4 linked regions of the Drosophila melanogaster genome follow. The protein of the gene in region 4 interacts with the protein of the main gene of each other region in a pairwise test. Each region holds a gene or a part of one and is shown on either strand. Other genes may lie near its edges.

Evidence for each region.
Region 1: the proteins of CG30431 (region 4) and CG9667 interact in a two-hybrid assay, tested with the Drosophila melanogaster proteins (one large-scale study listed by BioGRID).
Region 2: the proteins of CG30431 (region 4) and Prp6 interact in a two-hybrid assay, tested with the Drosophila melanogaster proteins (one large-scale study listed by BioGRID).
Region 3: the proteins of CG30431 (region 4) and RnpS1 interact in a two-hybrid assay, tested with the Drosophila melanogaster proteins (one large-scale study listed by BioGRID).

The regions. Positions count from the first base shown.
Region 1 is NT_033777.3:8,124,477-8,128,318, forward strand, and holds CG9667 (uncharacterized protein), read right to left. Parts: upstream 1,882-3,842; 5' UTR 1,840-1,881; coding exon 1,837-1,839; intron 1,776-1,836; coding exon 1,753-1,775; intron 1,690-1,752; coding exon 1,529-1,689; intron 1,468-1,528; coding exon 836-1,467; 3' UTR 814-835; downstream 1-813. Other genes in the region: CG7878 (uncharacterized protein), read left to right, coding at 1-289, 347-662; Arl8 (ADP ribosylation factor-like 8), read left to right, coding at 2,244-2,366, 3,565-3,719, 3,786-3,842.
Region 2 is NT_037436.4:18,903,397-18,909,879, reverse strand, and holds Prp6 (pre-mRNA processing factor 6), read right to left. Parts: upstream 4,509-6,483; 5' UTR 4,387-4,508; coding exon 4,289-4,386; intron 4,222-4,288; coding exon 2,703-4,221; intron 2,622-2,702; coding exon 1,668-2,621; intron 1,621-1,667; exon of another isoform or gene 1,595-1,620; coding exon 1,370-1,594; 3' UTR 1,337-1,369; coding exon of another isoform or gene 1,090-1,336; 3' UTR 906-1,089; downstream 1-905. Other genes in the region: Ir75d (ionotropic receptor 75d), read left to right, coding at 1-856, 1,090-1,336; CSN1b (COP9 signalosome subunit 1b), read left to right, coding at 5,086-5,118, 5,191-6,483.
Region 3 is NT_033777.3:9,550,204-9,554,570, reverse strand, and holds RnpS1 (RNA-binding protein S1), read right to left. Parts: upstream 2,538-4,367; 5' UTR 2,389-2,537; coding exon 2,387-2,388; intron 2,311-2,386; coding exon 2,149-2,310; intron 1,881-2,148; coding exon 920-1,880; 3' UTR 824-919; downstream 1-823. Other genes in the region: CG9386 (uncharacterized protein), read left to right, coding at 1-808.
Region 4 is NT_033778.4:6,200,936-6,206,060, reverse strand, and holds CG30431 (uncharacterized protein), read right to left. Parts: upstream 3,337-5,125; 5' UTR 3,115-3,336; coding exon 2,694-3,114; intron 2,043-2,693; coding exon 1,207-2,042; 3' UTR 837-1,206; downstream 1-836. Other genes in the region: eIF3f2 (eukaryotic translation initiation factor 3 subunit f2), read right to left, coding at 4,228-4,983, 5,040-5,125.

The sequences.
Region 1 (3,842 bases), on a different chromosome or scaffold from region 4:
AACAAATTATTAAATTGATGGAGGATGACATGGACAAATTCAACACCATTACATCTTTCGTTAAGAACATGTCCAGTACGGACAAGATCATCATATTTTGTGGACGCAAGGTTCGTGCTGACGACCTATCCAGTGAACTTACGCTGGATGGTTTCATGACCCAGTGCATTCATGGTAATCGCGATCAGATGGATCGTGAGCAGGCTATTGCCGATATTAAGTCCGGCGTCGTGCGCATTCTGGTTGCTACCGATGTGGCATCACGTGGCCTGGACATTGAGGATATCACGTAAGCAAATTTTTCGAGTCGAGGAACCCATTAGTCATTATTTTTTCATCCACAAAGACATGTCATCAACTATGATTTTCCGCACAACATCGAGGAGTATGTGCACCGTGTTGGTCGCACCGGACGTGCTGGCCGACAGGGCACATCAATAAGCTTTTTTACGCGCGAGGATTGGGCTATGGCCAAGGAACTAATTGAGATACTGCAGGAGGCGGAGCAGGAAGTGCCCGACGAACTGCACAACATGGCTAGACGCTTTAAAGCCATGAAGGACAAGCGCGCTGCTGAAGGTGGCGGTTTTGGAGGAAGAGGTGGTCGTTTTGGAGGCGGACGTGGCGGCGGACGCCGAAATTTCGATCAATTTCAATACTGATTCATTCTACATTTTCTAGTTATAAGAGACTAGAGCGCATTGAAGTGCCTTGCCAAAAATTGTTTAACTATTTATCTATTCCAATTATAGATGATCATAACCCAAAACATGCCGTGTTAAAAGAACACGCGATTTAAATGTATCAAACTAAGAGTTTAGAATGTTTATTGAGCTTAGTTAGTGCCACCGGCGTATTTCTCCAGCAGTTCCCGTTTCCGCTGGCGCAGCAGTGCTTCCTGTACATCTTGTTGCGTCGGCACGGGAACGTGAGCGGTGAACTTGGATGCCAATAGGCCATGAGGATCCTCCACGGCGGCTCGAGCCTTGGCATCCTCGATGGCTTCGCGTGCTGGTCCCGAAAGGGGATATATTTCATCCTCCTCTTCGTCATCGATTATGCGACCATCTCTGGCCATTTTCTCCCGCCATTCCTGCACGGCCTTCTGAATGGCCGCTCGTTCGATGCGTTCCTCCAGAGGGATCAGAACACCATCTTCGTCATCTCGATAGCCGTAGTATTCGGCATCTATGTCCTTCATTAGTTCAGCGCGTGATTTCCTGGGTGGCGGCGGAGGATCCTGTTCAAAGAGCTCGCGAACACCCGGCAGATCCTTGGCGGCTCCAAAGTATTTGTAGCCTCGATTGCCGGGAACTTCACGGCCCTCCGCATCGAACATCTTGGGACCATAGCGTCTATAGTGGGGGCCACCCAATGAGGATATCTGATTTTCCCAATGCCGTTTCTCACGCAATAACTTGTTGATTTCATCGTTCAGATCGCGAATCCGGAATTCTCCCAAGCCAGCTATAAGTGGTCGCTATTAGTGTATATTGTTAGGGAGAAATAAATAAACCGAAATAGGTACCATTCTGTATCTGGGCCACCTTCTTCGATATGTCGCGTATTATCTCCAGGCGGAACTTCTCACATCTGGGCAAATCGTGGCACTCGGAGGCCAAATAGGGCCGGCGTTCCTTTTCACCAGATTCCACTTCTTTTGCGGCCCGCCAACGTGCCAAAGTTGTCCTGTCGAAAATAAGCGGATGAGTGCTGGAAATCTTATGTTATACGTATATCCGGGTTACTTACATTGCCTTCTCTGCATTGCGCGCCTGAAAATATACATGTATTATTCATTTAATTAAAATTAATAAAATTTTCACATCATCTTACCATTTTGTTTACTAACTTCTTCTGCCTTAATTGCCAGTCACAGCGAACTATACGGAAATCGGTTACACGTTATCGATAGCAAGTACAGTAAATATTGTCCAGTAGCGATTTCACATATATTTTAAATGCAATTTATTAATAATATTCCCGATGAAACCCGAAGACATAATATTATTTATTTGTACTTAATATATATATACCATATGAATTTTATTTTCTCTTAATTGGATACATGCTGAAATAAACGATTACCATTCACTACGAATACTACTAAGTACACTACCGCGCACTTGGCCACACTGACCTGCCCAGTTGTTTTTTCACGACAACATTTACGCTCTTTGGAAAAGGAAACCTTTTTTCGCGAATTTCAAGCAGATCCCGACCAGAAACACACCTGCCCCAGGATGTTGGCCCTCATCAACAGGATCCTCGAGTGGTTCAAGAGCATCTTCTGGAAAGAGGAGATGGAACTCACGCTAGTGGGGCTGCAGTTCTCCGGGAAGACGACGTTCGTCAATGTTATTGCAGTGAGTATTTTCGCAGTGGGTGTGTGCGAATTCGTGTGGGTGTATGGGTGAGAGGGTGGTTTTTTTTGTGTGTGGTTGTCTGTTGTGTGGGTGGGGAGGGGGTTCACGGAAAGCCGGGGGATCAGCTACTACTTAAAAAGCATTACAAACCCCCAGTGACAAAGGAATTGGTCTTAGCTTGATTCCCCCACTCTAACATTGTTTATTTCTTATCTTTTCGTACTCCCAGTTTCTTTCACTGCATCCGTAATTAACGCTGTGCTAACCGTTTCCTTTTAGTGGTAAAGTTTACCGTTCCTGCCGCTGTAATCAATAAACCTACATATAGCCCATATATACGCATGTTTCTCCGCACAATGACGCCATTATCAGCACTTCAACCCCTGACCCCGTATTCCCGTACCGCCTCCCTGGTTTTTTTCACACATTTCTGCACGCTGATAATGCGACGATCTCAAGTTACCATTTACTGGAACTCGTAGATAGTTGCATACACTTGCCAGTCGTTGCGGGAGGTGGAGTAACTACTGCCTTTGTGACCGCCTGACTTATTATGAGTCATGTGAATTCGATTCAAATGTCTGCCCGCATCTACGGGAAATTTGTTTGTTCAAGTGCTCCCGAAACGGAAATATTCCCCTGCTTATCACTGCTATTAGACTCCAATTCCGTGTTTGCATTCAGATTCGTGCATTAGTGTAATGTTCAGGTTCGGAATGAAAACAAACTTGTGGGTGGCGCCAATTAGTCACTTTTCCCATTTCACTAGCGACTGCTAACCTATAGTATACCTTTTTAATTTAAACTAAGTCACAGAAGTAACATCTTGCCATTTTAGGAGCTTTCGATTCTCTTATTGAATGCATATGTAAGGTGATTGATGCTGATACAGAACAAAGATTTATGGGTTAGAATCAATTATCAATTTAAGTGTTGTATGTTGAATTAAATTTAGTACCAAAAGACATTGTTTGATCAATACTTTAAGATATTACAATAGTTATTTATTTAAGAGCATTTTCAAAAAGAATAACAAATTTTTTAAGGTTTTGGATGCTGTCATGTGTAAAAAATCAATTTTTTACACGAGTTTTACATTATTTTGGATTGCATACTTCTAGGCTTTGTTCTTTGCTAATATAAAAGTTGTATTTTATTTAAGACACGATTACTTACTAATTATTTTTGTTTCTTGTAGTCCGGCCAATTCGCTGAGGACATGATACCCACAGTTGGATTCAACATGCGCAAGATCACCAGAGGCAATGTGACTATCAAGGTGTGGGACATCGGAGGCCAACCTCGATTCCGATCCATGTGGGAGCGCTATTGTCGCGGCGTTAATGCGATTGTGTAAGCAATAATGATACTTAAGCAACAATCGGTAGTCAAGTAACACTGTAATGTATTAATCAACAGCTACATGGTGGACGCAGCCGATCTGGACAAATTAGAGGCCTCGAGGAACGAGCTGCA
Region 2 (6,483 bases), on a different chromosome or scaffold from region 4:
ATACCTACCAAACAGTGAACTACGGATGGCGACAACCAAATGGATCATTCGATGGTCTCATGGGACGTTTTCAACGCTATGAACTGGACTTGGCCCAGCTGGCGATCTTCATGAGATTGGATCGTATTGCATTGGTCGATTTTGTGGCTGAGACTTATCGAGTGAGAGCTGGGATCATGTTTCGGCAGCCACCTCTCTCGGCAGTGGCCAATATATTCGCTATGCCCTTTGAGAACGATGTGTGGGTGTCCATTTTGATGCTACTGATCATCACGACCGTGGTCTTGGTTCTGGAACTCTTCTTTTCGCCACACAACCACGACATGTCCTACATGGATACACTAAATTTTGTTTGGGGTGCTATGTGCCAGCAGGGTTTCTACGTAGAGGTGCGGAACCGATCGGCGAGAATCATTGTCTTCACCACATTTGTTGCAGCTCTCTTCTTGTTCACCTCGTTTTCGGCCAATATTGTGGCCCTGCTGCAAAGTCCGTCGGATGCTATCCAGTCATTGTCTGATCTGGGACAATCGCCTCTAGAAATCGGAGTTCAGGACACGCAATATAATAAAATATACTTCACCGAGTCCACAGATCCCGTAACGAAGAATCTTTACCACAAAAAGATCGCGTCCAAAGGTGAAAATATCTATATGCGCCCCTTGCTAGGAATGGAGAAAATGCGAACCGGCTTATTTGCATACCAGGTTGAACTCCAGGCTGGTTACCAAATCGTCAGCGACACCTTCAGCGAGCCGGAAAAGTGCGGATTAATGGAACTGGAGCCTTTTCAGCTGCCCATGCTAGCTATTCCAACAAGGAAAAACTTTCCTTACAAGGAGCTCATTCGAAGGCAGTAAGAATATTTTATATATAAACATAGTTTCGCTTTCCAATTGCATTTTACATTTAAATAAAATAGGTAATTTATTAAATTTTATACTAAAAATCCAATAGTAATTTAAACGTGTAACTAATCAAAATATGCCTAATTAAAAATTTTACAGGGATAAAAACCCTTTTATAATTTACAATTCAATAACTTGTTCGAAAAGAGGAAATCATAAAACACTTTGTTTTAACCCACAGACTACGCTGGCAGCGAGAAGTAAGCTTGGTGAATCGCGAGGAGCGAAAGTGGATTCCTCAGAAGCCCAAATGCGAGGGCGGAGTTGGCGGATTTGTCTCCATTGGCATTACAGAATGCCGGTATGCTTTGGGGATCTTTGGGTGTGGAGCTGCTGTCAGTTTTGTCCTGTTTCTTTTCGAGTTTATCTTCAGACACTTCAAACAAGTTTATCGCATAATTAAAGGCTATAGAGAAGTGCAGCGCTAGGCTCCACGCGTTTAATCCAAACACACTTAAAACTTAGATGGGTATGGATAGCTCCCGGACAACAGCACGCAGCACCTCAGGTGTCTTGAACTGCCAGTTCTGGATGTTCTTGCTGACCCGACACCAGGACTCGCCGTGCGTGGGCTCTGCAGAAATGCACCGATCGAGGACCTCCTGCTGCTGCGCCTCCGTGCCGTGGAGTAATTCGAACTTGTAGAAATATGCCCAAGCATCACCTAGATCTGGATCGATCTTGACCTGAAATAAACAAATGATTAGCTCTGAACATGTTTGTTTCTATTACATTTAATAGGTAGTATAAATTACTTACAGTTCGATTAAACCAGTCTCGGCACTTAGAGAACTTGTGCTCAGACCAGAACAGTTTTGATACAGCTAGCAGCACATGTGGATCGTGCTCGCATTTCTTGAGAGCATCCACTGACTTGGTCTTTCGCTGCGGCTTGGTTTCCATGAAGATAGCCTCCGCCCATAGCTCACCAGCGTTGGGACATTCCTGCAGTGCTCTTGCCATCATTGTGCTGGCAATCTCCTTGAGGCCCGCACGCAGCTCCACCCTGATGGCCTCCAGCCAGAGCACAGCCACTTTGGGGTTGCGTAAACGTCCTCGTTCCAGAATGGATCGAGCCTTCGTCAGCACTCCTTTGCGCTCTTCTAGATTGGCGGAAAGAATCCAAAGTGGGATGGACGTAGGACACTTTTTCAAGCCCAGAGTATAGGTGGCAGCCGCATCATCTGTCCGTCTCTGCTGCTCCTCAATCTGACCCTTCATCATCCACAGTTTGGGGAAATCTGGGAACACTTCCACCGCCTCCTCCAGCAACCGCAGAGCTTCGTCGAACTTTTCCAAAGCCCATTCCAGGCGAGCTGATTTCATCATCACCCTTGGTGTCGGTGCCGATCCTCTAGCCTTGGCTAACAAGCGTCTCGCCCGCTCATATTCCGAGTTCTCTGATTCCAACTTAACGGCAGCCAACCAAATGTCCTCGGAATTGGGATTGGCCTGGAAAGCCAAGGACAAAATGCCTCTCGCGGCTGGAACGTCTCCAGCCATCCATTTGGATTTGGCCCCCATCAGCCAGAGAATCTCCGATTTAGGACAATGAGCCACGGCTCGCTGCAACAGGGCCTCCAAAGATTCGCGGGTGCCATGGTTCTTTTCAAAGTAGGCGGCTCGCAACCAGATGCTTTTCTTCGAGGGAAATATTTGGAGGGCATGAGCGTAAACAGCTCGAGCACACTCAAATGCATTTTCCTTTGCGCACTGAAAGAGGGAAAATATAATACGGTTATTTTGTTCCAAAAATGTTACAAATTTGAAAAATGAGTGTTTCTTAATACTTACGAATTCAGCATCATCAATCCAAGTCTGCTTGCGATCCTCCTCCTCCACTCCTATTCCAATGACAGCCTTAACAATGGATTGGCAACAGTTGACTGCTCCTGATTTTTCCGCCTCGATGGCCTCCTGGAACCACTGATCACGGTTGATCTCCACTCCGTTGACGGTAAGCGAGGTCAATGATCGATCAATGATCTTTTCCACCATGTGAATATTACCATTGGCCTCCTCCAACTTAGCAGCTGTGGTCCAAATCTGGCGATCAGTGGGAATATTCTCGCGAGCCTTGTTTAGAACCTTTCGGGCGTTCTCGTAGGTTTCCAAGCGGGCGAGAGCCAACCAAAGTTCAACGCTGGTGTTGCAGCACTCCACGGCGCGAGAGAGTAGAATCCGTGCATCATCAGGATTCTCGAGTTCCACAGCCGCCTTCCACAGACGAACTGAATTTGGAATATGCTCTAGAGCTTTTCTGAAAACTCTACGCTTAGCTTTGGTCTCCGATTCCAGATCTGCGGCTTTAATCCAGATCCTGACCGAGGTAGGAATATGACGAGCCGCTTGCGCGATCACCGCTTTGGCTGTATCTGGCGGCTGAAGGCGAGCTGCTTCCAGCCAGAGATCCTCAGACTGGATGTTCATTTCGCAGCCCCGCATTATCAGATTCCTCGCCATCTGAACCTTGCCAGTCACTTCTTCCAAACGGGCGGAGGCAATCCAAGCTGGTGGATGGTTAGGATTCGTTTCCCTCACACTCTTGAGCAACAAACGAGCCTTCTTGATGTCGTTTATGTCACCACCATAAGTGGGAATCATACTCTGCAGGTCGGTGAGATAGCCCTTGGGATCCACCACCGTTTGGCCTGTCACGGAATCGGAAACCTGCGAAAGCTTGACGTTCATAAGAGTGTTACGAGCCTGGCCAATCTTTCGCAGATCAAGATCACCCGTAGGTGTCAGCATGCCTGGAGTAGCTACGCCAGGCACCATAGAAGCCAAGCCCGAGGACGGATCCAACGTAGAGGACGACTCGCCGCCAAGATTTCTGGATATCAAGCTGTCCGGCAGAGGGGTAAACTTTTCGGCCCTTGGATTTCGTTGCTTTCTGTTTCGACTGTCGCCCACTTCAGGAATCGTGGACCACTCCTCCGATGTGACACTGGCCAGTGAGCGTTTCAGGTCACTGAACTGCTGCTGGATCTTCGGTCGCTCCTGGCGGTACCGCTCCAAATCCTCACGCAGCCGGCGATCACGATACTCTTTGCGCTTTTCGTCCATTCGCTTGTCTATCGAATCGTAGATAGCGTCCGCCTCCTCGTCATCCTTGTCGTACGGATCCTTGGAGAACAGGGAGCCGCTGTAACCACTAAACTCGTCATAGTTTGAGTCGTTCAAGTCTTCGTCCTCCTCCTCCTCTTCGTCTTTTTTCTTACGTTTGGTGGCCGGCGGAGCATGGCGGTCGTCGGATACATCGTTTGCATCACGGGCAGGACCAATATCGGACCGAGTGGTGAATCCTGTCGCTCTAAAATAGAAAATATACCATTAGCATTAAGTTTTGCTTTGCGAGATGCGCGTTTGGTAGTACTTACCCACGACCGACGCCGGCAACATAGCCCAATGGGGCTGGGACGCCCAGGAAATGCTTTTTGTTGCGGTTGGCTATAACCGCCGCCGTTATGTTGGACATCGTGGCTTAGTTCTATATTAATATTATCTACTTTATTTAATAAATTTCACAAACAATTGAAAGTTTTCTAATGCGTGGTGCGCTTCTTCTTCTGAAATTAGGGATGGGAAAAATATATCAATTTATCGATATATTAAAATAAATGTAAATATTTATATCGTGATAGTTTTTCTATGATATATCAAATATCGCTCTTTCTGTAAAATATTTTATTGGACACATGTGGATTCATAAAAAACTGAAAACTAAGTTATTATTCTTAAAGGATCACTAAATTATTATATTTATGATGAAATATCTGATGATAAATGATAATATATTATGAAATGTCAAGAATAATTTGTTTGGGTACTTTATCATTTTGATAATTTTTTTAAATGAAAAGTGTCTGATAACGACCTGTAGTCGCGGATTATAAAAGTATTTGATATCGGAACTTAGCCTAAAACCAACTATCTTTGTTAAATATTTTTAAACTGATATCAGTGTTATTTTTTGTTATATTATTTGTTGGAAAAGTGGAAAATGGTCTTCTACCATACAGTTGTCATCTATCGATCAAAAGCGTTGTTCACATTGTCCATCTCTAGATTATCGGTGTAAAATAATTTGCGAATCGGAAAAATTAATTGACGAATAAACAAAAACGTAGCTTAAATTTTTCATTTTCCCTGGACTTTCGTTGCAAATAGAAGCAGGATGCCCGTGCTGCCGATGCCACCACTCATGCAGGTAAAAAGTAACCAAAAATGCGTTATCTGAAGCCATATAATCAGCAAAAATCGCTTATTACTCCAACAATAGAACGCCGTGGAGCCGATGCAAGTGGACATCGCGCCGCCGAACGAGGACAACGAAAACAACGAGGAGCAGCAGATTGTGGTGGAGAACCCCAGCATCGATCTCGAAGTGTACGCCAACCAATATGCCGGGATCGTGCGGCTCCATCGCCTAATTTATGTGGCGGACGTCTGCCCGGTTTTAGCCGTGGAGGCTCTGAAAATGGCCATTACTTACGTTCAAACCACCTACAACGTAAATCTCTACCAAGTGCTGCACAAGCGCTTGAGTGATCTAAACGCTGGAAATGCGCCTGCGCCACCAGCAAATGCTGGCGGAGATCAGGCAGGAGCAGCGGCTCCCGGTCCCCTGGCAGCTGCTCCCCTTCCGGATATCGCGGCACAACCTGTGGCTCAGGCTCAAGGACAGGCTCAACCCGCTGTCGAAAAGGATGCCTTCGCCTACGATGCCGCTTGGGTAGACACCAAGATGAAGAAGGCGGCTCTTAAGCTGGAGAAACTGGACTCAGACCTCAAGAACTACAAGTCCAATTCGATCAAGGAGAGCATCCGGAGGGGCCACGATGACCTGGCTGACCACTACCTCAGTTGTGGCGACCTCACCAATGCCCTGAAGTGCTATTCTCGGGCCAGAGACTACTGCACTAGTGGCAAGCATGTGGTAAACATGTGCCTTAACGTGATCAAGGTGTCAATTTATCTCCAGAATTGGGCCCATGTGATGAGCTACATATCCAAGGCGGAAAGCACCCCGGACTTCGCCGAGGGCTCCAAGGAGGCTAATGCCCAGGTTCATACTCGCCTTGAATGCGCTGCTGGTCTGGCGGAACTGCAGCAAAAGAAATATAAGGTGGCCGCTAAGCATTTCCTCAATGCTAACTTCGATCACTGCGACTTTCCCGAAATGATCTCCACCAGCAATGTGGCGGTCTATGGTGGCCTCTGCGCCCTGGCCACCTTTGATCGACAGGAGCTTAAGCGTCTGGTCATCGCCTCTACATCCTTTAAATTGTTCTTAGAACTGGAGCCCCAACTCAGGGATATTATTTTCAAGTTCTACGAAAGTAAATACGCCTCATGTCTGACGCTTCTGGATGAGATTAGGGACAACCTGCTGGTTGACATGTACATTGCGCCCCATGTAACCACTCTGTATACCAAGATACGCAATCGCGCGCTAATCCAGTACTTTAGCCCCTATATGTCAGCTGATATGCACAAAATGGCCATGGCATTTAACTCGTCGGTGGGCGATCTGGAGAACGAGGTGATGCAGTTGATATTAGACGGACAGATC
Region 3 (4,367 bases), on a different chromosome or scaffold from region 4:
TACCCAAAGGAGCCTCATTGAAAAGGCCGTGGAGCCCAACAGCTTCCGCTTGGATTTTCCGGGTGTGGATTGGTTGATTGGTAACCATTCGGACGAGTTGTCTCCTTGGCTACCGGTTTTGGCTGGTCGTTTGAACATTAACTATTTCCTACTGCCCTGCTGTCCCTTTGAACTGTCGGGAGCCAAGTTTCGCAGGCGGAATACGAAGATAAGTGCCTACCAGGATTTCTTTCAATACGTCACTCAGGTCTCTCATGAATGTGGCTATGAGATCCTACAAGACCGTCTAAAAATACCAAGCACCAAGCGATTGGCTCTGCTGGGAATTAAGAGAAAAGCCTCAAAGGCTATTGAAGATCTGGAGTACTTTGTCCAAGAAGAGCTAAGAAAGTATAAGACCGGAGATGCCAAAATTAAGCTGCGCGAGAAGGAGGAGAGCGTTCGAAATTGCACGCAGGTGGATAAGACCATAATTGATGGTCTAGTGTTTAAGATCTTCAAACTGATTCTGGACTCTAACGAAGATAAATGGTCTGGTCGTCTGCCCATGAGAGAGATTGCCCAGGCTCTCACCAAGGAGGAGCTGAGTGGCATTAAATCCGAGTGCGGCGGCATCAAAACATTGCTGCGCAATAAACACGAAGTTTTCGAATTCTGCGGTGGTGATCTCATAGGAATAAGAACCCCTAAACCAACGGCTACTCTCCCCAAATCCCATTTGACCATCAAGAAACGTAGCTGCTTTTTCAAGCTTCATCATCCGCTGGGATGTCCTCTCGATGATGCTGAGTGCTCGTTTATACACTAAGCTAACTCTCTATGTGTGTGGTATTTGCTCACCTTTATTATTTGGATTATAATATAAAGAAAAGTGCAATAATCGTGTCAATTGTAGAAACTAGGAGTCGATCAGTGTCCTCTAACGAGAGCTGTCACTGCTATTGCTGCGGCGTCGACGACGAATGGGGGAGCGGGAGCGACGCCGTGGTGAACGCCGGTTCCTCATGGGTGACTGACGACGTCCGCCGCCGCCGCCACCACCTCCTCCACGATTGTTGAACCTATTGAACTGGGGTGGGGATCGCCAGCGGTTGTTTTGCGGACGGCGCATCGGTGGCGAAGGACGACGCATGGGCGGCCTCTGTTTTACTAAGACAACCGGGGATACCGTAATCTCCTGGCCATCTATCTGCCCGCCATCCATATGCTTCATGGCCGACTCACAATCCTCGGGTGTGGCATATTCCACAAACGCCACGCCGCGTCCGAAGTTAGGATGAAAACGATCTACGGGAAACTCCACATTCTTCACATCCCCAAAGCTGCTAAATATCTCGAACACATGGTCCTTGGTAACGTTGCGGGTAAGCCGACCGACATGAATGCGCACCTGTTTGGGCGAAGGCGAGCGAGTCCGCGAACGGGAGCGCTCCCTTCGCTTCGGTGGCGGCGTCCTCTCAACGGAGCCGCGACCACGACGGCGTGGCGATCGTGAACGACTGGCTGAGCGAGAACGCTCCCGCTTAACATTATTGCTATCGGCGGCTGCCCTATCGTTGGATCCAGCACGGCGGGCACGATCCCTCGACCGACTACGACGATCGCGATCTCGCTCCGGCTCTTTTCGCGCCTTGCTGCCCGGTCTTGGAGATTTGGAGACACGCCTGGGGGAACGGGTGCGAGAGCGGGAACGTGATCGGGCGCTGGGCTTATCCTTGTCTTTGTCTTTGCCAGCAGCGCCGCCGCCACGTCTTCGGTTCTTCTCGCTGCGATCCGAATCGCTGGACGACGATGATGAGGAGCTCGAGGAGTCGCTGGAGCTGCTTGAGCTGGAACGCGATGACCCGGAACTGCTCCGCGAAGAGCTGCTGTCCGATGTGCTGGAAAAAGTGAAGTGTTTTATTTACTTCTCGTAACCAAGAAAACGGCAATGAAGCTGGTACAAAGTAAAACACTTCCTAACTGTGATGAAATTTTACCATATATGGTATGTGAATTTTTACAAAATCTTTTCGCTCGAAGGCTATTTTCTTCCCGTACTATCTGCTACGTTTTACAGAAGAAGAAGGACTTCCTTTTAAAAGTAACCCTTATTCCGGTTGGCAGATGGCAGCCATTTGTGGGAAAGACCTTTGCCGGCTGATTTACCTGCTTCTGGAGTCGCTGCTGGAGGACGCCGATCCGCGGCGTTTGCGTTCGCGGTCCCTGCGCGAGGAGCCGCTGGTCGCCTTGCCGTCCTTCTCTTTGGCGACCTTCTCCTTGTTGTCCTTTTCCTTCTCACCCTCGCCGGCGAGACTCTGGGCACGCGCCCTGTTTTTTTTTATTTGTCGAGAAAAGCGAGCTGTTTTAGACCATTTAGGGAGCAAAATGTGGTGCAGATACTTACATTTTCGTATTGCCGATTTGTTAAACGATTAGTTTTATAGTACCGCACACTCTTTTAGGTGCAAGCTAAAATGTTTTTATTAATAAATCTTGTTTTTCTCAACTAGAGTTAAATGCGAGTAGCGTTTTCAGTGGAGATTAGTGTGGCCGTGTTTGTGAACGTGTAAATATGACAAAAAAATAGAATACACACTTATTAAAATAAAATCCAGTTCCTTTACTTTGCTATTAAAAAACTGTTTTGCGAATATTAAGAAGCATTTTTAGTTAAATATAAATAAATTTCTTTTATAATATGCTTAAATCTCAAATTCTAGTATACAAATGTTTCTAGAGTATTTGGGATTAAGATAACAGACACCACTTGGTAATTTCTCACAGTCTCGCCGCGGCCACACTCTTTGTCAGGTCGAACCCAAGGTAAACTCCCATAAAGCGTAAAAATTTAAGACCTTTCCTGCCTAGCAATTTGGACTCGATAGGAAGTAATAATGTATACCGTGTAATATGAATAGTGCTTGTTTTCGTAACGTACGAATGTAGTGGAATTACATAAAACGCAATTGATTTAAGGCCAGCACTTTTTTATCTGCTGGTGACGAAGTGGTTGTCATTGTGAGTTCACATCCGTGTGCCTGTATGTGTGTGAACTTGTGTTGATTTTGTCCATGCGAGCAAGCGAGATAGCAAAAGGGGGCCGCGGGGGCTGGCCACAGCCACAGAGTTTCGATTTTCCATCCATATATCTACACTCGCAGCGGAAACGAGAGAGAGAAAGAGAGTGTGAGAGAGAGGAGCGCCCCGTCTGGTCTGGGCACATTTTACCACACTGCGTCTTTGTCTGCCGTCGAGTCGGGAGCTCCGCGTCTGGTGTGTAGTATTATTATTCTTAATATTTCGGATTACTCTGCCTGTAGCTCAATAGCAATATTAAAACCCCGCCCCGAATGCTTTGCGTTGAAAAACATATCTTAGTGTGTGTGTGAGTGCAAAGTGCAGTTATGTTGTGGCAGCAGTCAATGCAAATTAACCAGTGTCTATACCTCAAAGGCACATTTTTTTAGCCCCATCATCGTGTTTTGAAACGCCACAGCGCAGCGTAATTGCCAAAAACCAGCTAGCCAACAAGAGTTTCGTTGGTATACATATCCATATATTCATATAATCAATGTGTGTAAAGAAAACGAAACTAAGAAAAGCGAAAAAGAGCATTCGATGAAGTTGACTGTCATGACTACGCAATAGCAACAACAATAGGAGCTGCCAACAGACACATGTATGCACAGTAGGTGGGTCCTCTCACGTGCTCTCAGTGCCGCTCTCTGCTCTCCCTCTCTCGGTTTCTTTGTGCATCGGTGTGAGTGTGTATGTGTGTTGGGGTCCGGACTCCATGGAAAAAGCGAATATTTTGATGCCTGCTTCCTTGTGTGTATATGCGTATATTTTTTATAATTTATTGTTTTAATTTTGAGAGGGCGTAGTGTGACCCCAACTCGAACACCGACCCTGCCCAAGTATGCATAGAAGAACGCGCACACACATTTGTGGTCAAAATAATAGTTAAATTACGGAAATGTAGTCTATTTACAATGTTGAAGGAGAGCACCGAAGAGGTCGCTCTTTATATACATACATACATACATAAGTATATGTTATCGCTGCATTAAGTCTTATAATCTATGTTTAGAAATGCACTTATCTTATCTTTATAATAATATTTACCACAAATACCCTGATCAAAGAGGGGTTTTATGCCGTGACACAGTCGTTATACGAAGAGGGTGCTTCCAAAATCTTAGTGCTTCCATTTTAAAAGCATCGAAATTTATGTTATGAAAAGAAAAAGAACTTCTTATGCTAAGAATATATCACTATATAATTGCGGAGAATATCTTTGGGGTACAAATTATAGAATTCCATTATATAATATATATAATATTATATAATATATATAATATTTCTACTTAAATGTCTGTTTTAAG
Region 4 (5,125 bases):
CACACATATATAAGAGCACGCGTGCAAATAAACCGAGGCTTTGGGCGATAAGCCCTGAATTGGGTTTTATAAGAACCTGGAGTAAATATTGGGCAGAGTCCTTAGTTAAAAGTACGTGCTATCATCGTTGTAGAGGTGAACATACAATATTATGGAAATTTTTAAGAATTAGCATTCTTGGTAAAATGATTTTAAGTAAGCTGTCAAATGATCAGATACTGAAACATTAGTAATCGTCACATAGCCATAAATTTAATTGCGTCATATTGTTTTTGGGAATTGTTATTTTAGCTGGTGTACGTTTTGACACCACATCTTTTAAGCTTTAATCTTATTTTGATTCCACATTTTTTCACGATTTCTATTTCAAATGTCTTGTTTTTTCACCTTCGGTTTTCAGTTTTTTTTTTTGTATGCTGGCTATTTCGTCACTTTCTCCTCGCAGTGGCGTTTGGCAATCAACCGCTTTTGGTTTGCGACACTGCGACAAATATGATAAGATAAGACGACTGGGCATAGGAAATGCTTGCCAAATCCATTGTTGGGCAATAATAATGCAATGCCCAACGAAACAGTTCCACGAAGGAAAGCTCTACTCCTTAGCATTTAGATATGTAAATATGTACATAGATGTATGTAGGTCCCGAGATTACGACGTTCTTCTGTATTTCGGTTTGTACCGACGGACAGTCTGGTCGCCTGTGTAGATCAACTCACTATGTGATTTAGATTAAGAATGTATAATATGCATTAGATGCGTTCTCAATCAATGTCAACTGTCAATTTCATCTACCTGGTGCTTTGTTTTCTAGTAATAATAGACAACCGACGGGTTTAAAAACTCAGAACCAACCTTTTCTAGCTAAAATATATTTATTTAAATGTATAGAAAAAATGTTAAATTATTGTATATGTGGTAATGAGTAGATTATCTCACTGCTTAGTATTAGTATTTGGAATATCAAGAAACCATTCATTTGCTTAACTCGGCATTTTCTTCAATGAATGATTCAATAAGAAAACAGAATGAATATTTCGACAGCTTGAATTGGGTAACTACGAAGAAAGTGGCGTCATGCCACAAAATTATATTATATAAATATATTCACTGTAATGTTAAAGTTATAGGTGGTCGACTCGGTGTAATTGTCCCTCCAGCACCCCTAATACTTAGAGCAGCCTCTTCCTAGGATGCGGGCGTGGGCCTCAGCTCTCGATGCCCTCCGCCTCTAACTGGGCCTCAATGATATCTGCGTGCAGGCGCACCATGTGGTTATTCAGGTTGCCAACGCTCTGGTAGCACTTGTCACAGTACTCACAGGCGAATGGCTTCTCGCCGGTGTGCACCAGGAGGTGGGAGTTGAGGTGGCCACGAGTGAAGAAGGCCTTCGAGCAGCGATCGCACTTGAAGGGCCGCTCCATGTTGGGGTTGTGGGAGCGCATATGGGTGCGGAGGTCGGACTTGGTGGGCCAGCTCTTCGAGCAGCGCTGGCACTCGAATATGCGCGGCTTGGCTTCGCCGGTGTGGGTGCGCAGGTGGGACAGCAGCTGCGTGCGCAGGATGAAGCGGCGGTCGCAGTGCTGGCAGCCGAATGGACGCTCCGTTGAGTGCACCGACTTCACGTGGTAGCGAAGACTGTGCCGCGAGGCAAAGTTCTTGCGGCACTCCTCGCACTGGTACCTCATCTCGCCCATGCCGTGAACGGCTGTCATGTGCAGCTTCAGCTGAAAGTTGCGAGTGAACTTCTTTTCGCACTCGGGGCACGGGTGCAAGGATCGCGGGTGCACGGCACCAGAGGCCTTCCTCTCCTTGGGCTTGACGTTATCCTGGCGCGGCCTGGCTCTCCGCATCTTGGGCTTTTCTGCGGCATCAGGTGCCGGCTCTTCGGATGATTCCGGCGGCGTTGGGGGCTCGACTGCAAAGAGCTCGGCGGTCTCCGGCTGATGATGCGGAGTGTTTAGGCTTCCCGAATCTACCGACGATTCCCAGTACGAGGGAATATCATGTTCACTGTGCGAGCTGTCTTGGAAGTCCAGGCTTTCTGCGGTGGTGAAAAAGTTATAGTTAAGGTATGGAACTTTAAAGGACAATATAAACAAGGGAGAGCGCCAAAGTCACCAGCATGTCAACCAAATTTTGCAAGCTGCACTAATTTACGATCAAAAACAAAGTAACTATATTTCATATTAAATTCATTTATTTCTTGTTCACTTTTCTATGGCAGCTGCGTGAATATTATATTGTATATGAATATATATATATATCCGATAGCTGATAACTTTACAAGAGAGAGTTTAGTTTAGTGCGTAGAAACGGACTGACTTGGAACGGACTATATCGAATCTGTTGTTGATACTGATCAATATATATATATATATATATATATATATAGATAGATAGATAGATATAAAAAATACTTTTATCGAATCCTTTTACTCCTCGAGTAGCAGGTAGTTAAAATATCAATTTGTTCATGAATGCAAAATTTGTGTCTAGCTGATTGTTTATAACAATTGTTATTATAGCTTGGTCCATATAGAAAAACATACTTAATTAAATTCGAGCTGGTTATCAGCGTGCTATCAGCATGTGTCATATTTTATAATAAATTTTCTTTTATGACCTAATCCTTGGTTCTTTGACCGGCCTTGGCTTTTAAACCAATGTGTTCGCCCCGTGCGTGATAACTTACCAAAATCAACGGTCTCCATTAAGGGCGCCACATGGGCCACCGGCTTACTTGCTTGCAGAGGCACAGACATCGGTCCCTCCAGGCTGCCCACTTCTCGCTCCAGGCACTCAAGCACATCGTCCAGGGCCAAGGCGTCTCCCACGGCCACCGTGTGCTTCCAGTGCTCGTGCCGCATGCGTAGCACCTGTTCGGAGTGCTCGCACCGCCGCTGGAAGTCGCGGGCGTCGTGCAGGCGACGAAGGCACAGGTCGCATATCACATCGGTGAGGTTGTCGCCGTGCTCAAGGCGCAGGGCGGGAGCCAGGGCCTTCAGCTCCACCGCCAGCTGGCTAGAGGCGTCATAGAGACTGTGGTAGAGCGGCGGCTGCTCCAGCAGGCAGCAGCGGCAGACGAGCGGGTGGTGCGGCAGCAGCGAGAGCATAATACTTAGTTGCCGAAATCCGGACGGACGATCGCGGTTTACACTGTGAGTTCAATCAAGGAAGCCCCGATCTATACGGACGATTGGCATAGTTGTTTTCCTTGCGTTGTAGTCTTAGCTCAGTCTACTTGGGTTTTCATTTTGAAATCGGATCTCATTACGGTTTTACCACAGGCTTAATACTTCGTGCGTCTGCTCGGATCGCCGGTCGCTGGACGTCTGAGGGTGTGGATCCGCATCTAATCCACTCCTCAGAGCAGCGATGTCTATCAGGAAAGGCGACCGGGGCACACCGATAGCCCTTGGCTTGAGCGATAAGTCAGAGGCGGCGGAGGCGTCGGTTCGTCTGAGGGGTGGGGGCGCAGAGAGACAACGGGAGATTCGTCTGAGGAGAGGGGTGTCGTAGGGCTACTATCGACGGTCAACGTCAACGTTTGCTAATTTTCAGTTCGTTCCAGCTAATTGATTGCCCCGGTGGACATCCGCCGACTGTCCCTGAACCGCGATAAGGCGTTATTATCTCGGCATTATTTGGGTGGTCCACATCCCCGACACCCCCACCACCTTTCCACTACCATCCTCCGCCGTGCCCTCTTCGTCGAGATTTGAACAGACCGAAATAGATCTGTACTGGACCTTATCACCGTCCGTAGAGATCATCATTCCGCCGCGGGTTTCCCAGCACTGTTGTTGTATTTACCGCAAACTTTTTGGTGCTTAAACGGCCAAAGGAGTTGGCGAAATGACTCGCTTTCTCTGAAAATCACTTACCAAAGGGACTAAGATCGGGATGCTGGAAAAGAATGCCGATCAAGCGTTGCCTATAAGGTTTTCGGGCAACGCAACTGTGTAGAACGGGGGAAGCCTTAACGAAAATCATTTGTTTTCGGCACGAGCTTATAATGATCTTAATCGCTGGATGCGATGTTTCTAGACTCCAAAGTTCAGGAGCCGATACTAATTTAATAATTTCTACCGAAGGCTTGCTTTAGTGTGACCTACATCCTCCTTTTAATGAAAGTTCAATTTATTAGGTGGTGTAAATAGCAAAAGGCACCCAAAATAACAATTAAGTGATTGATTCAGTCAATTCAGTCAGTTTTTTGTCATTGTTCACTGATCCTGCATGCAAGACAGTTTCTCGCTGATCTCCAGCTGTGTTTTTATCATTGTGGAAAGAGTGATGGCCATGAGCATATCCCTCAAGTTAGTATTAAACATGACGCGAAATTTGTCCGAGTCCAAAAGCGGCACGGCAGTGAGAGCGGCGTAAAGGGATCTCCCGACTACGTTGTCAGGTTTTTTCTTCCTGGCCAAGACATCGTTGATGTAGCGCAGCACCAAGTCAAGGCGATGTTGCATATCCCTAGTGGCATCCACCACTTGAGCCAACTCTGGGACGAAGCGCTCCATTTGCTTGCTTGCCTGTTGCTGCGATTGCTTTTCTATGCAACGCAGAGCCACCAAATCGGAATTTTCGTTGCTAATCTCCAGTGGAACTAATGAGAACATCAGTCCTTTGGTGCCACCAGGCACTCCCATCTCCACAGCACAGTACAGTCGGGTCGAGAGTCGCTGGTTCTTCAGGGCTGCATCCACTAGCAGGTGCAGTGGCTGTCCTTCGCAGCATTCTCTGACATAATAGTCGTGGATCAGGGACGCGGAGCGGGACACCGATTTCCCAGTGCAGAACCAGCCCAGCACACGCTCGTTCGGATAGGCGAACATATTTAGCTCTAGGACCTCGGAGGCATATGCCATATCCAGATCAATGCGTTTGTTCTCCGAATGCTCCTTGTGCGGCACAGTAAAACAGTTTGTGATCTCGATGTGGCCCTCCTTGTTGCGACCCAGCAAAGTGCCCATAACCTTTGGTTTGATCATTACAAGATTAGTGGACAGGAGATGAATGCGCGCACACCTACCTGATTGTCACCTTTTGGTCGGCGATCGTATGCGTCAATAATTTGGAAAAACACCAACGGCTTTAGATACACCTTAGCTCGCATGC